2 linked regions of the Styela clava genome follow. The protein of the gene in region 1 purifies or fractionates together with the protein of each later gene. This does not show direct contact. Links are inferred from orthologs where the notes say so. Each region holds a gene or a part of one and is shown on either strand. Other genes may lie near its edges. The genes, in order: RISC-loading complex subunit tarbp2-like and protein argonaute-2-like.

Region 1 (8,213 bases):
ATCAGCGGGTAATGCCATTATCTTGTCATACATTTTTGTCGCTGCTGCCCTTTTTGCATGCTTCTTCGCTGTTCCACTGCCTAAAATACGGAAGACAGTGAAAATCATACAACACTTGATATGCTTTTACATTTATCTCGTTCAACATCATGAACCCAAAACATACTACTACGTTTGAAACTATCCATGGTCGGGTCTTCTTTTTAAAATGATCATTTTTTTCGAAAAACACATAGTCTGGACAAACATGGTTGATCACTATGAATACTCTTTGTACAAGCCTACTTGTGCAGTCCAGCAATATGCAAATCAATTTCGACCCAATTTATAAATTCAATTTCCCATTTTTATTTCCTAGTATTCAGTAACTATTAATGTGTTATCTAGCATGCACATGTTATACCCACCATATTCTTTGAATGATTCCACTGTACAACACATGATGAATTCTTTTTTGTGAGCAGGACCAGACTCTGCGTACATTGAGTATACTGGAAGCCTCCACCCTCTAGCCACAACCAATTCCTGAAATATTATTCATATTATGATGCTATTTTGTTTACGTTAAAAAACAACAAATACTAACTATTTATTACACAAATATTATTTACCAGTATTTCGTAAACAATTTCAGAGTTACTTTTATACAGTTGTACCAAAGGTGAAGTCACAGGTGCCTTCAAAAACAGAACAGAATAGAAAAAAAGATGCAAAGAGCAGAGTGAGATACCAAGTAAGGGCAATAATTGATTGTATGCTTAGAGCTTTGTGGGCGGGAGAAAGGAACAAAATGATGTTAGAATTATCATATACCAGGGTTAGAGATTCTCCAAGTCACCCCTTTCGAAGACTAGAGTCACTTCCCCAAAACTCAACAAACCACCCGAGAGACTTGACTTGAGACTCAAGAATAATTTGCGAAAATAGAAACAAAAAATTGAGTTATCCATGTTGCTATAAAACCTACTCTTGTGACTCGGCCCAGCTTGAAACTCGAACTTTAAGATTTGCAAAGACTTGGGTCGAGACCCATAATCTTAAGACCCTTTCTGTGAAATTTACTCTCTTACTTGTAATGTTCCCACAGGGTTAGTACTCTCCTGTGAAGATAGTTCTTCAATCTTCTGTTCAGGAACTTCTTGTTGATTCTGCGATTCATCTTCTGCTGTAAAAATAAAACAAACCAAAATTCTTCAATCATTCGAGGTACCTTGATTATGTTACATGACATATACAAGCCTCAGTTATTTTATAAGATTTTCATATCTGTGCTGTGGAAGAGCCATTAAAACAACTCAATCACATGGAACCATGGCTTCTAGTCTGGTTACCAGCCCATGTCTGGTATGTACATAATTAATTTGATAATTGTTTCGGATACATGGATTTGATGGTGGTGGAAAGCCCTTAACAACCATCCTATGCAAGAGAAGAATCCAACAATCCTCTCACACATAATTGTCTTCCACAGGATTCAAGCCCATACAGGGTAATCAGAAATGGCATGTTATTATCGCTTAGTCCGATGCGTCAACAGCTAGGCTTATATAATCTTGAATTTGAACTATAAATCGGCTGTCTTTTTAATATTTCTTAATTTCTACATTCATGAAATAATAACTCATAACGGATGATTCATAAACGAAACTTTACCTTCATCAGCATCCCCACCATTTTTCAGTGAATTAAGTACAGCTTCCGCAGCTGCATGTTTAGCTGCTTTCTTACTACCACCCTGTCCAGTCTTCATGATATCACCAACTGTGCATCGATACACAAATTGGGGTTGGTGAGCCCGTCCCTCCATGGCTGTCAGATCGTATTGAGGTGTCTTCCCCATTCTCTGACATATTTCCTGTTATATGAATGGCAATAGTTAGAATCTTCATGAAATACAGGCTGAGACTTTTGGTACAGATTTATAAGCTAAATAAAATTCATTAGCACTTAATGACAATAACTAAAAATGAGGAAAAAGGTGCCAACAAAAAATTACGCATATTAAAAGTCATCAACCATAATTGGCTTCAAACAATATACTGGGTCTAAAACAAATAAACTCAACATGAAATGGTAACATAGACAGTTGTTCTCCATTTAAATAAGCCTGCTATGGCAGTATGAGGAAGATGTGATATTTCTAACAGAGGAGAATTTTAGGAAAAAAGTTCCAAATTTGTCAGTTCACATGTTATTATCTTGAGATTGCATATCCAATAGATAGAAAACATTTGTTTCAGTTTGTAAATAACATAGTTCAAAACATTTCAAAAAGTGGTAGTCATATATGATTAAATTCATATTAAACAGTAACAGAATCCATCCAATCATGGAAGTAACAAATAAACCTGAAGAGATGAAATCGGAGTCTTGGAAGGTGATGCTGCAGAACCTGTTGCTGATGTCGGACTGGTAGGTGATCTCGTAGTTGCAGTGATGTTGTTCTGCGGCACAATAGTTGGCGAGTGAAGGCTATGATTCAGAAAACAGAATGTAAAAAATTTTAATCAGTAGTCTATATAACACAAATGATAAGTTTGTTACAGATAGAATACAATAAAGTTAAATTTGGGAAACTTCAAATCGGTGGACAACTAAATCGATAATCATGTTTTAATATTTTTTGCCGATAACTGAACAATGCCGGATTTTTATGCACATAAATCCTTACCTTAAACCGAAGCCTAATTTTTTGCATTGAATATCTCCACGCTGCAATTTTACTTAAAGAAAAAACAACAACAATGTATTATTATTGCATTGCTCAAGTTGGCAAGAACTAGCAAAATTACTTGGCAAACTACAAAATTCAGAAATTTAGTTAACTTACCTCATTTTCTTTTATAAATACTCTTGAACTTAAAGCAAAAACTCCGAGAGTACTTATACTAGAAAATATCCAATTTACTGTCAACTCGCCTGAGTCAAATACCTAACTTTTTATCTGCAGAATTAATTATAAATGCGTCACTATATCTGTATACTATTATTATTTCATCCAGAATCGCAAAATTAACCTATATGCAATTGGGGAAACGTAGGGGCTTCAGCAAAACAACAACCACAGTCAGACAGTGGCTCAAGCACGATTACCGTATGTAACCCATGTCAAATCTGTTATTCGAAAACTAACAAACAAATCCAATCTTCACCAATAGTCTAGTTATCAAACTTCCATGGATCGGCGGCCAAGACTCTCAAGTCTCCACACTTGAGGTCTCGTGTAGTTTCATACCTAACATACTTCAGTACTTCTAGTGGGCGTAGCATCACATTTTTTTGACATATCAATCCTAAACCCCACCTGACTATACCATCCAAAAATCACGTCCCTGCAACATCACAACACGTCATACTGTCATAGAGCTTGTCAAATAAACGTACGATCGCCCGAAATGGCATCGGCTTCGACGATAAAGAACTTACTAAAGTCAGCGATCTCTCTCATATTGGGATCGTCGAGACGAAAAAACGAGAGAAGTAGCCCTTCGATTTCAGATGTGCAGACGAGCGCGTCTTGGCTGACAGTTCGTATAGTTTGAAGGGCTCTTTCACGTCACTGTGACGTCGTAGAGACGTAATTTTTGGATGGCATGGGCATGTGGGGGTTAGGATTGACACGTGCAAATATTGTCACTATACGCCCACCAGAAGTATGATAGGTACGAAACTACATAAGACCCCACACTTGTGTCCCCCACTGTTCTATAATATATATATACAGAGAGAGAGATTTATTATTTCGTCAACCAAAATAAAATAGCAGTCATCGTAATAATAAAGTAATAATATCTATTTCATTTGTAACGGGTTTTTTCTTTCAGCTGTTTTTTATTCTATACGCTTATTTATTCCTACATTAAGTCAACTGTTTTGTTTTTGCATTAACTTTCTTGATATTTTAGTATCGATTGTTTGTTTATACAAACTTTACAATGTATTGCATTTTTGAAATGCATTTTTTTGTTATTTAAACCAAATTCTAATTTGTTTTGATGACTCAACCCATGCTTCTGATTACATTGCACTAGTGTATGTAGAATAGAACTCTACCCCTATTTGCTTGTTCAAAATCCCACTTGATATGTTTAACTTAAATTCATTCAATAAAACAAGTTACCCAAATAAGGGGTAGCTTGTCTGAACTGCTTTCCCACTTTTTTTCGTTTCGATCATTTTATTTTTTGCAATATAATTTCAATTTGTGCAAAATCCCACTATTTAAAAGAATGCTTCCATAATTGAAAATAGTAAATTCATGTAAATATTGTACATATATACTATAAATCGTGAGAGACATTGATATATTGACACGAATCTGTTATTTTTATGCTTATTTAATATAATTGGGTGGCAACTGACTCTGATGACCCCCAAAGGTCGTATCGTTGCCCCCCAGTCATATACCGAAAACTATTTTTTTAAATATTTGCTCATGTGTGCATAAATTGTTTACTTGGTTTGACAAAATGAAATAAACTCTCTCTCTCTCTCTCTCTCTCTGTGTGCTTAACGCCCGTGGTACCACGGAGAGTCAACATTATGAGTTATGTCTGCGTGGGTTCGCAGGTTCGAATCCCATGGGATGGTCATGTGCGAGAGGATTGCTGGACTTCTCGCCGCCGTAGGGTGGTTCACGTAACCGCTGGTCGGTTACGGCTTCCTCCACCATCAAGTCCATGCTTCCAAAAACAAATAACTAACTAATCCAATACCCGACATGAAATGGTAACCGGACGAGAGGCCGTGGTTCGCCATATGGTTAAGCCGTCTTATCGGCTTTTCTCTTCCCCGGGATAAATATGTAAATCCTATTCTATCATTCTCTGTGGTCGTACTATCGATGGTCGTTCCCTGGCACTCTTTAGGACCAGACTGCTTGAGAGAAAGGTTTGAGGAATTTATTAGTTTTATATAATTAGGATAGGATTTACATATTTATCCCGGGGAGAGGAAAGCCGATAAGACGGCTTATTCATATGGCGAAACACGGCCTCTCGTCCGGTTACCATTCCAAGTCGGGTATGGGAATAGTTATACTGTTTGTTTTCGGAAGCATGGACTTGGTGGTGGAGGAAGCCGTAACCGAACAGCGGTTACGTGAACCACCCAACGACGCGAGGAGTCCAGCGATCCTCTCGCACATAACCATCCCTGCATGGGATTCGAACCTGCAAACCCACGCAGAGTAATTAGAGGTGCGGTGGCGAGCGTATTCACATAAAATTTGAATTCCGATTTTGGTTAAAATAATTTATAATAGAATACGATTGCATGATTTGTATTTCAGCTAAGTGCAGACAAATATATACCGGTATATATAATACGGTACGGTACCTATAGAAATTCTCAATCGTATTTTCGCACTTGAATTTTTACCAGAAACGCTGTGAGTTGAACGTGATGCTACCCTCTTTTGCTGAGGATTGAGGAATAGACACATGCTATCGTATCGCACCTCTGCTTACCCTACATGGGTTTGCACGTCTGAACCCAGTACGGTTAATGAATTTTGCCCTAGTTTAGACTCTACAAAAGTGGTAAAAATTAGATGATAGTTCCCGGATCCTATATAAATTACAAACATGCTCATTTGACTACCTCATTTTTCTTAATCTTTGACTTAATTTGGTACTTACAGAACCTTGTTTGTAGTGAACGCGCCTCCTAAAAAATCATTCCACTTTCCGTCGGAACGCAAATCCTATTGTCGACATGACAATCATCCACGGTCTGTGGACAAGATAAATAAATCAAGCCTGTTTTGACCATGCATATGATATACATGGTTTTGACATACTAATAGGCGATGATGACGGCTACACAATAGTTCTAAATTCATGTAGCCTATATTGCGTCAATGATCATACCCGAGTATTTGAAAACAAAACTCCAACAGAGGTATAATGTAATTTTTATTACACTTCAGAATTGATATGATAATCGAATAATTAATTATTTGTATAATCATTCTGCAGAAGTATGGCCTAAAACGTTTTTTCAATCGTAAAGTAAATAATATCAAAAATATTCCAGTTTTAAGCATTTGAGGAAGAAATAACAAAAATGGTAAAATTGTGTGCATTATTTTCACAGCAAAAGGAGCCAGTCGTTGAGTTTGTTAGGCCTATGTGTAAAGCAGTCGGTGTCTTCTCTGATTTATTGCGGCCTGCGTACAAAAAGAAGTCGAATTTCCAGTCGTCTTCTGCTTCACAACTATTCATACTCATTTTGTAAATCCTTCTTATTTCGCTGTGTATTGATCCCTCTTTCCAGCAGAAATAAATAACCTATTTTTGTAGTAACAAAGACGTGAATAAATAAATTCATATAAAAAATAAAAATAAATTCCTAAATAGATGCCATTTAATACGGTTATATACTATTGTCTAAGTAAAAAAATGATAATATATATATATATATATATATATATATATATATATATATTATCAGGAAAGGTTTTTGTATGATGATGCTTGTTAATACAATATTGTTCCAAGCCTCGAAGCTTGTCTGAAACGCGGATTTAGCGCCTATTGTACGAGCGAAACAAGACCTGGGCCTAGCTGCAATATTCTCCTGCAGTGGATGGCGCCTAATTACTATTCATTTCATATGCGACTACCAATTTTGCACCAACTACGTAATTGATAAAAATACCAACCTGGTTAAAATAGGTTTCTTCGTATTTGGCTGACATAATGAAGTAATCGACTGTGCCTGGTCTTGCGTTTGTATTTTCACTGATAAGCTTATAAGGGTACACCTTTTCTCTTTCACCATAGTAATCCCAGTCGTGATAGTAATCATATCCATCACCCACTCTAGCCAGGTATTCTGGAGATTCCCAAACGTTGCCTCTTTGAAAAAAGTAAACAAGATTATCCTGCCATTTTGCATACCCGACATTCACACGAACCGATTCGAGCAAATCTTTCTCTGATTCACCCTCTGGTCGATCGCAACAAAATACAACTTTGCGACTAAGGAGACATTCGTCCGTTTCGCCATCATAATACAACGGTTCACAGTCCTCTATGACTTTTTCACCCCATTCTGGCGGACCGTAGGTTTTCACGTATGATTTACAAACGTCATAAGGGCCCAGTTTCATCCAATCGTTGTATTCATCAGAAACAGCCACCCAAGTCGTATTCGAGGCTTCTCCTCCGAATGGCATGCCATAAGGACACAGATCCCTTTTCCTGAAAATAAATCAGTCAGTAGTTTATTTTTTCACGAATACTGAAAGTATATGCAATGTAGTCTACATATGCAGTGCCGAGTAGAATAAAAAATAGCTTTTCAGAAGGGAGACGCGAAAAAAAAATAGGCCTAAATACCTGAGCTACGATTTTTGAACGGAAAGACTAAAAATATGAGCTCTTAAAAGTAAATAGTCAATACAAAACTCCCTTAAAAGTGTAAGTAACAGATGATACGTGCCTAATGCAAGCGTATCGCCTCTATGTATATAAGTTCACTTTAATTTAATGGCAATACATAACAAACGGGCATGTTTTTTTGCATGCGATGCAGAAAACTTCAAATGTTTGTCATCATTCCAGAAAGCCGTTTGGACCTTTAAAAAATAGCTTGTGTTTCATAATCTATACCTATGAAACTTTTTTAATTTGATTTGAAGTTATATTGTAGATACATCCAATCTTACCTGCATAACGACTTTTTATTTGATTCACACAAAATTTTTGCTGCTGACCAAGTTGCTTCATTGCTTGGAAGCTCCAATCTCAAAGGTTCTGATTTTTGGGAAGATACTTCTGTGTAATTAAAAATGAAGCGTCCTTTGCCCTTTTCACTCACTAAATGAACATTCAACTCGTTTGAATAGCTAATGAATTCTTCTGGAAGACTGTTTGCACATACTTTGCCGTAACTCCTTTTTGAATCAGTGATCTCCAAGTAAGTGGTCCTATAAATCACAAAAACTACTTGTTTGCTTCATAGAAAGTGGTAGTTGAATGAACTGCACTTTTCTCATAATATATATAGTGCAAAATTTGCTTATTGAAATTTGGGTTCTTTATGGTTTAACAATAAATATTTATGGATTTTTGGTTTTGAAACCATAAAAATAACATTAAGATTTAGCACAAATAATACAAGATATATTATTCACTCTCAATGCATCCATTTTATTGTAAATGAGTTCCGGAAACAAATACAAGGCTAATTTCGTGACACGTGACTAA
Region 2 (7,192 bases), on another chromosome or scaffold:
ATATTTGATTTGGTGATATGCAGTTTTCCACACAGCTCAATACTTTATCGAAATTCGGACTGTGGCCATGTAACTATGAGCTAAGAATATTTGAGCACATGGGAAATGTCAGAGGACTCGCGATAAGTGAAGCATTGCGAAGGGCTGACACTATATTATTGACAATAACCATCCCTCAGAACTTCAAAACAACGTGTATCAGACCCATAACGATGGGTTCTCAATCCAGAATACCTTGAGTTATATGTTATAACCACAACAATATCTAATTTTTCACAAGTCGCAGTATACTGTTTCAATTTGCATGATATATACTTCATGAAATTAACAAGAATCCTCTGTCTAATTATTCGTGAAGTCGGCTTTTATCGTGTATGAAGAGATTTAGCTAAGGAGTTCTCATATGTCCACTTGCCACTTCAATACGCGCGTTTGTCATTGCTTTAAGTTTAAAGTATAAACCATTCAAGACTGAGACTTGCATTCGCATAGCTATTGCACAATGAAGTGGGATGTAAATGAGCTGAAAACAGTTTCATGTACTATCGGAGGGAAGACTCTATAATGATGTTTACCACACTGGCGCTGATTTATAAAACATCAGGCCTGAATCTTTTACTCTGTCGAAAATTGTAACGACTGAAACCGTAACTACTATTCATATTTGCATTTTAGATCAGCAATTCTTATATTTCATGAATTTGACATAAGCTCTAAGATACTTGTCAGTCCGAATATTTTAAATAAATCTTTCGTATATTTCAATTGAAATAAACTCAATTTTTATGCTCACTTCATCAATTCTAAATCCTAAATAGTGTTGTATAAATATGAAAAGGCCTGACGATGTCAATATTGCTGAACGTAATCAATGGACGAATAACGATTGCTTATCTTAGCGCTGTAAGTTTTATTTTCCTGATGCGGTTCGCACTTTTCATCTTTCGATATTGCATTCGTAGAATTGTCTTGTTTTCTTTTCTCAAGTTTTGTTTGGGACCTAAAAATGTCAAAAAATACAAAATTAAAGGCCCTGGTAGCGATTTCATGATTACCCGCTGACCGATATCGATAAAAATTTTCATGTTTTAATAGATTGCCCATTTCCAGTCAGCACGTTATTTTGGATAAAACCCCGACAAACAACATCATAAATGCAAGATCGGTTGTACTAAATTTATTTTAACTTTTCACCTTCTGGCGATAAACGCCAGAAGGTTTTTGTTTACAAAATAGATGACATCTACTTGAGTTCACAGCAGTATATTCTGCTTCACAAACAAGTTCTGTGCTTCAAAAGTGGAGGGTTAATTTTACCTATTGAAAAGAGTGGTAGTTGGTGTGGCAGTATCCCATCGTAAATCTTCAGCAACGCTTGCTTTTTTTAGCTTTTCGTATGGATCTGTAATAGAAAAGTAACTAAAACAACAATTATCCATGTTTTAAATGATCTGTAGCGCTTATTGCGGTTTGAATAACATTTATGCGGTTAAATATTAGTTAGATGTCGCATTATTGAGCTTAAGTATGAGGTTTAATTATAGGTATTGATAAAAACCTGGTGCTTCATCGGGGATCGGGTCACTTTTGTTGCGCTGTTCCGCTTTCCTATCGATCACCGCTTGCTTTCGGCGAGCCTCCCAATGAAGGGCAGACATTTTCTAATTCTAGTTTTATGACAATTAATAACAAAAAAAGTTTGTAATAGTTTTGCATTGAAATAATACGTTATTCTTACGTCATAATGATAATATCAAGTGAACAAGATTGAAGAATGAATCAACAACCTGGCGTTTACTTACAGTTAGTTTGCGGTATTGCTTCATTTTTTCCTTACCATCGGCATTTGATTGAATTACTTCAGAAACACAATTATCAGAAGTTAATGTAAATTATATGAATAAAACTAGGCAAATGAAACGCAGGGTGGCTCCGGAAATGAAAAGGTTAACCAGCAAGAAGAACAACAACATTTTAACAAAACGATACACAGTTACACCTTTTTTCAAAATAAAATTAGGTAACGCAATGGTGAGGTGTATTTTTCTTTGGATAAAAATTCGCGGAAATTTACCAGGTTTGGAATATTTGGTGGCGAGCACGAACCGCATCCGCGACGCACGCGCGTCTTGTGGTGTTTCTTTTTTCCTCGCACGGTTCATAGATAATAAAGAAACAAAGAAATTCATCCTTTGTGTTCGGACGCTTTGTCAGCTATCATTCGTTTCAATCGACGTCACCAACGGTCGAGCCAACCCTCAGGGCTGGGCTTCCCGATTTCGATTTTCTTGTTGTAGCGACCGTGCGTTGTCTTACGTATCTTGAGGATTCATAGTTTCGATTTTGTGCGTGCTGTAAATAACATTGTATATAACAGTAATCAAGTATATATTTCGAACAGCTTCCGTTAAACTGTAACAGTAAGGTACCGGTACCGGTACTGTCTGAGTGTACCGCACGGTGTTACTTTGACAGGTTGTCTAGTTGTTGTAAATCTAAAATGGTAAAACGAAACTCTAAAACTGGAGAAACAAGATATATCGCCCAGTAAAAAGAAAAATATATAAACAAAATAAAAAACAAAATAAAATTTCGCCACGCCATATTACAGTATTAATAATTTTGTAAGGATCGCCAAATTCTGAAATTGGATATAACAATTTTCTGGCAGTCTAGATTTTAGTTCAGAAGTTGAAAGTGATAATAACCTGACATTATCTACGGAGTTATCTTTTGCTGACTAATTATTATTTCAGTCAGTTTTTATGTACCATATTATTGTAACTGTATTCTGGTATTAGACCAGTTACTGAGTTACCAATATGAAGCTGTAAATAGTTTTGAGAAAATGTAGGCTAGTATGAAATAGATTGATGAATGTCTGAATGTGGTTTTGGTAATTAGGATAAATACAATTGCCCGAAAATGCAACTTCTGAACTTTAAAATTTTTCTTTTAAATCAGGCCTCAGTCTAGTCCCACATGTCTGGCTGGCTTACTAATTCAGTACGGCACAGCTCTCCGATACCAAGGATAACTTCCACATTAAAAGACGTCAATTATAACTGCGATTGCAAACCTCTTCTCTACCAGACAGTCTCGGCCTCCATACCGACAACAAACGGAAAAGAAGCTCAATCAAAAAATGTCACTATTGGATTTTTTGGAAAAAAGAATCTGATTTACCATAGGTTAAAAAATAATTTTACAGTAGCATTCAACAGTTTTTAGCAAAAAAGCAATTTCGGTCATGTGACAGCCACGTCGTGATTAATTTAGATTATCATTGAGACAAGCACGGTGTGATCTGCCGTCGTGCCATACGCCCTCATTTCAGAGACAAATTGAGCGTTTGTTTTATTGAATGTTGGGACATCTTGGAATTGGAGAACTGTGACCTACTGTAATTCTATAATTAAAATTTGCTATAAACTGATATCTGGATATATTCAATTCAAACAGGCAATCTGATTCTGTAATTCAAATGAAGTCAAAAAGCAGAGATGTGGTATAATTCGTTATTTGGTTTCAGAATTATTCAATGGCCATGGCTTCATCGTAAATGTCTCAGGCTGCTCTTATCATCATCTCATATTTGCATATTATGTCATTCCAAATCTTCATCTGATCTGACTTCGTCATCCAAAAATAACGTTACTATACAGACAGTCGTCCAATACACGCAGACGATCACCCGGAATCGAGCAAGCTATGTCGTATACACAGCCAAATTCTCTTTCTTTTTCTCATTGTAACTATCCCGATATGCGACAGGCCGCTGGGCGGCTGGCGTTAGTGAGATCATTATCATAGACGCAGACCATTTGAGCGATCTTTGGCAAGCTCTGACTTGATCATGACATAGTGATGTATTTCTTGGTTGGCGTAATCAGATGAGCGTTAGGAATAACATATGCAAAAATGGTTATGCCACTAAACTAAATTAGACCTATCATAGTTCTTAGTCCGATATAACGTTGATAAGAGAATGCATTAATATAATTTACTTATACTAACTTTGGTACAGTAATTGTATCTGATTATACTTCTGGTACAAATACAGAACTGAATTGTGTTTTACAGCAAATTTTATATTATTGGAATATTTTAAATTTTACCTCAAAAAAGCAACTGCTCAAGCAGTAAAAGACTGCAAAATGTTCACTCCTCAGCAGTCATTTAACCCACAATACCAACCCACGACAGCAGGAACACAGCAACAGCCCCCTACACCAGTTGCTGCTGCTCCAACTGCAGTTACCCCTCCAGTCAGACCTGCAGGTAAACAGTTTCATTTCAAATATTATTCAATACCTTATGCTTACATTTTTCAGATTTGTCTTATCTGATGTGTCCTAATTTAGGTTATGTTTGACTGAAATATTATAGCAGTTTAATGTACATTTATAAAATTAACTGGATACTTAATTTTATTTATTCTCGCAGTTATAAGAAGTCGAATATGGTTTATTTATTTTGTCTGAATTAAAATGTTTTTGGTGTCCCATGTGATCATATTTTCTAATAAAATTGTTTTCAATTTACTCCTAAAAATAAAAAAAATTGGAAATATATACAAACGTTCAGATTGTGTTTCGTCTTTCTTTTTTCTAGTTATGTCTTTATTTTATATTCAAAATAACGCTTATTTTTGTAGTTGGGGATCCAAGGTTTCCGATTGTTGGTACGTCAAAAGCCATAGACTTCCAAGCACCAGCCCGTCCAAATGTGGGTCAGATTGGAAAACCAATCTGGCTGAAAGCAAATTATTTTAAAGTATCCATTCCTAATGGAGATATTCATCATTATGACATTGATATCCATCCAGACAAATGCCCAAGGAGAGTAAACAGGTAGTTAATTGAGCGTATATTTTTTGATTTTCTTATTTTAGTGAAGATAGAAGAGTGCCAATTCTAGCATTAAATTTTGGTATTTAAACTTCTGTTGTTGTTGTTTTTTAATTAAAACAATTTTTCAACTCAACCTTACTCAGTTTTACATGTTTTTTTTTTTAATCATAATTGAAGCTATAAGAAATTTCGAATATTTGCTTTATTCTTCTGTTATACTGATCAGTATTCAGAATTCCTCTTAACGATTTGCTTGTTACGGTAATTTTTCTTTGTTATAGATTTGAGGTTTTACAGAAACTCAATATTAGATGAAAATATAAGTATTTTATATAAGTCCATAGTATTGATAGTTGATATTATATTATCGAGTTTCCGTAAAACCTCAAATGTTTTATTGAGTATTCTTCATTATGCATTTTCAACTTTCAGAGAAATTATTGAAACAATGGTGGGAAATTATCGTACTGCAATCTTCCAAGACAGAAATCCAGTGTTTGATGGCCGTAAAAACCTCTACACAGCACAGCCACTGCCTATTGATAATCAGAAGGTTCATACATTTTTTTTTTCATTCAAAATATATGTATAGAGTGAATATGAAACCACTTTCATAAGTTCGAAATTCTTTGAATATTTAAATTATTTATTTGTTGGGACATTGAAATTTCAACAATATGTGTTGGGTTTCTGGGTTCTAGTTAGTATTATGATGTTTTCAAAGATTATGGACAATGGAGAGTTGTATTTAAATACCCATTTTATCGTATAATATTATAAAATTACTATGTTTTTGAATCTGAAGTATTTACACGATGGTAAACAATTGAAACATTGCCCTTTTTCACGAGCATTGCGTCAGAATTCGAATGAGGAAGTGTCTGCTTTTGTGTTTATAGCATATGCTGAATGTGAATGTTTACTCCAGTATCGGTTCTCTAACATTTTTTTAGAAAAGCCCCTTGTATTTATCAATGGTGAAAATGCCAGCACATAAGCTTGTCTTTTATATATTGTTTTTTCAAGAATTTTCGTATTCTATGATATCATCAACTAAAATATCTTGGGAATCGGGTCAAAATAAACCTAAAACATTGTCTGATTTTGTTTTCTCTTATTTGGTTGTGTGTCTATGACTAAGTAGTCATAGCGCATGGGGTGTGATTTTATTGACATTTTAGAAATTAAAATACAGACCGAATATTAATAATTACTTGTGTGCTAGTCGGTAATGGTTTGGGCCCTGATATTTAGGGTGTTGTTGCTGTTGTTACCACCATATTTATAATTATTATATTTGTTGGGAAACTTGCAATATCAAACAATCTATCGTAATTTAATTCAGTCAAAATATTTCGTCATGTGTCTTAAATCTGAATAGATTATTATCTATTCTATATTACTAGTTACATAACTGCTCAAAAAATGATTTTATCTTTACCGAAAATCAAACGAATAAAATATGACTTAATAATTTTTAAGATTAGTTAGATTACCTGAAAATTTTTAGCATTGGCACATAACTGTATTGTAATTTTTACTCTAAAGTACTTGACCACACCAATTCTACATGACTTCTGCTGATCAATATTATCATTATCAATCATATTCATGGGATTAAAAGTGCTGATGTGATCATGTGACTGACAGTGCATAGATCTTCATTGTTAGATCCTATATAAATGAATATTGTCAATGAATCTTTATTGATCATCAAGTTTGAACTATTATTACCTATTGTAATATACAAGGGTGACTTTGAAAGCATCTAATATTTCTTTTACTTTTTGTTTATAGCTTGAAGTGGAGGTGACATTACCTGGGGAAGGCAAAGATCGTACTTTTCGGGTTGCAATAAAATGGTGCGCTCGTGTATCTCTCTATTCATTGAAATTGGCATTGGATGGAAAAATGCATGGGATTCCATTTGAAACTGTGCAGGCGTTAGACGTTGTCATGCGTCATTTACCTTCCATGAAGTGAGTGTACTTGTTCTTTTATTTGTGCGCATACATCCATAGCAACATGAAATTGTCTATGGTTGTTTGGGATGGATATTATTAAAACTTGAGGTTTTCATTTTATTTGTCTACTCTGTCTAACTAAATGTTTTATTATGTTCCAATTTGTTAATATTTAACAATTGTGCATACCAACTGTCTGCCTGCTTTTAAAGTAGTTTTGACAGATTTTCAAAAATTAGTCATGTAAATCATGTTTTTGAACGTTTCAGTTTTTAGCCATTTCTCATGACAATTCATTATTCACCTCTTTGGCCTCAAAAGAAAGTGCAAATTGCTATCATTCATTCTACCTTTATATTTCCGTATAAGATAATT

The links.
Region 2: the proteins of RISC-loading complex subunit tarbp2-like (region 1) and protein argonaute-2-like purify together in Drosophila melanogaster (affinity purification with western blotting; 4 studies listed by BioGRID, with this or other methods). This does not show direct contact. The link is inferred for Styela clava from reciprocal best matches to the Drosophila melanogaster genes loqs and AGO1.

What each region holds. Positions count from the first base shown.
Region 1 is NC_135259.1:11,926,263-11,934,475, forward strand, and holds the start of RISC-loading complex subunit tarbp2-like, read right to left. Parts: upstream 3,122-8,213; 5' UTR 2,836-3,121; coding exon 2,831-2,835; intron 2,473-2,830; coding exon 2,349-2,472; intron 1,856-2,348; coding exon 1,654-1,855; intron 1,166-1,653; coding exon 1,071-1,165; intron 526-1,070; coding exon 408-525; intron 81-407; coding exon 1-80. Other genes in the region: uncharacterized protein LOC120338264, read right to left, coding at 6,039-6,290, 6,665-7,205, 7,673-7,933.
Region 2 is NC_135255.1:14,041,316-14,048,507, forward strand, and holds the start of protein argonaute-2-like, read left to right. Parts: upstream 1-4,069; 5' UTR 4,070-4,157; coding exon 4,158-4,281; intron 4,282-4,657; coding exon 4,658-4,853; intron 4,854-5,285; coding exon 5,286-5,406; intron 5,407-6,650; coding exon 6,651-6,832; intron 6,833-7,192. Other genes in the region: uncharacterized protein LOC120331088, read right to left, coding at 850-1,000, 1,318-1,402, 1,559-1,658.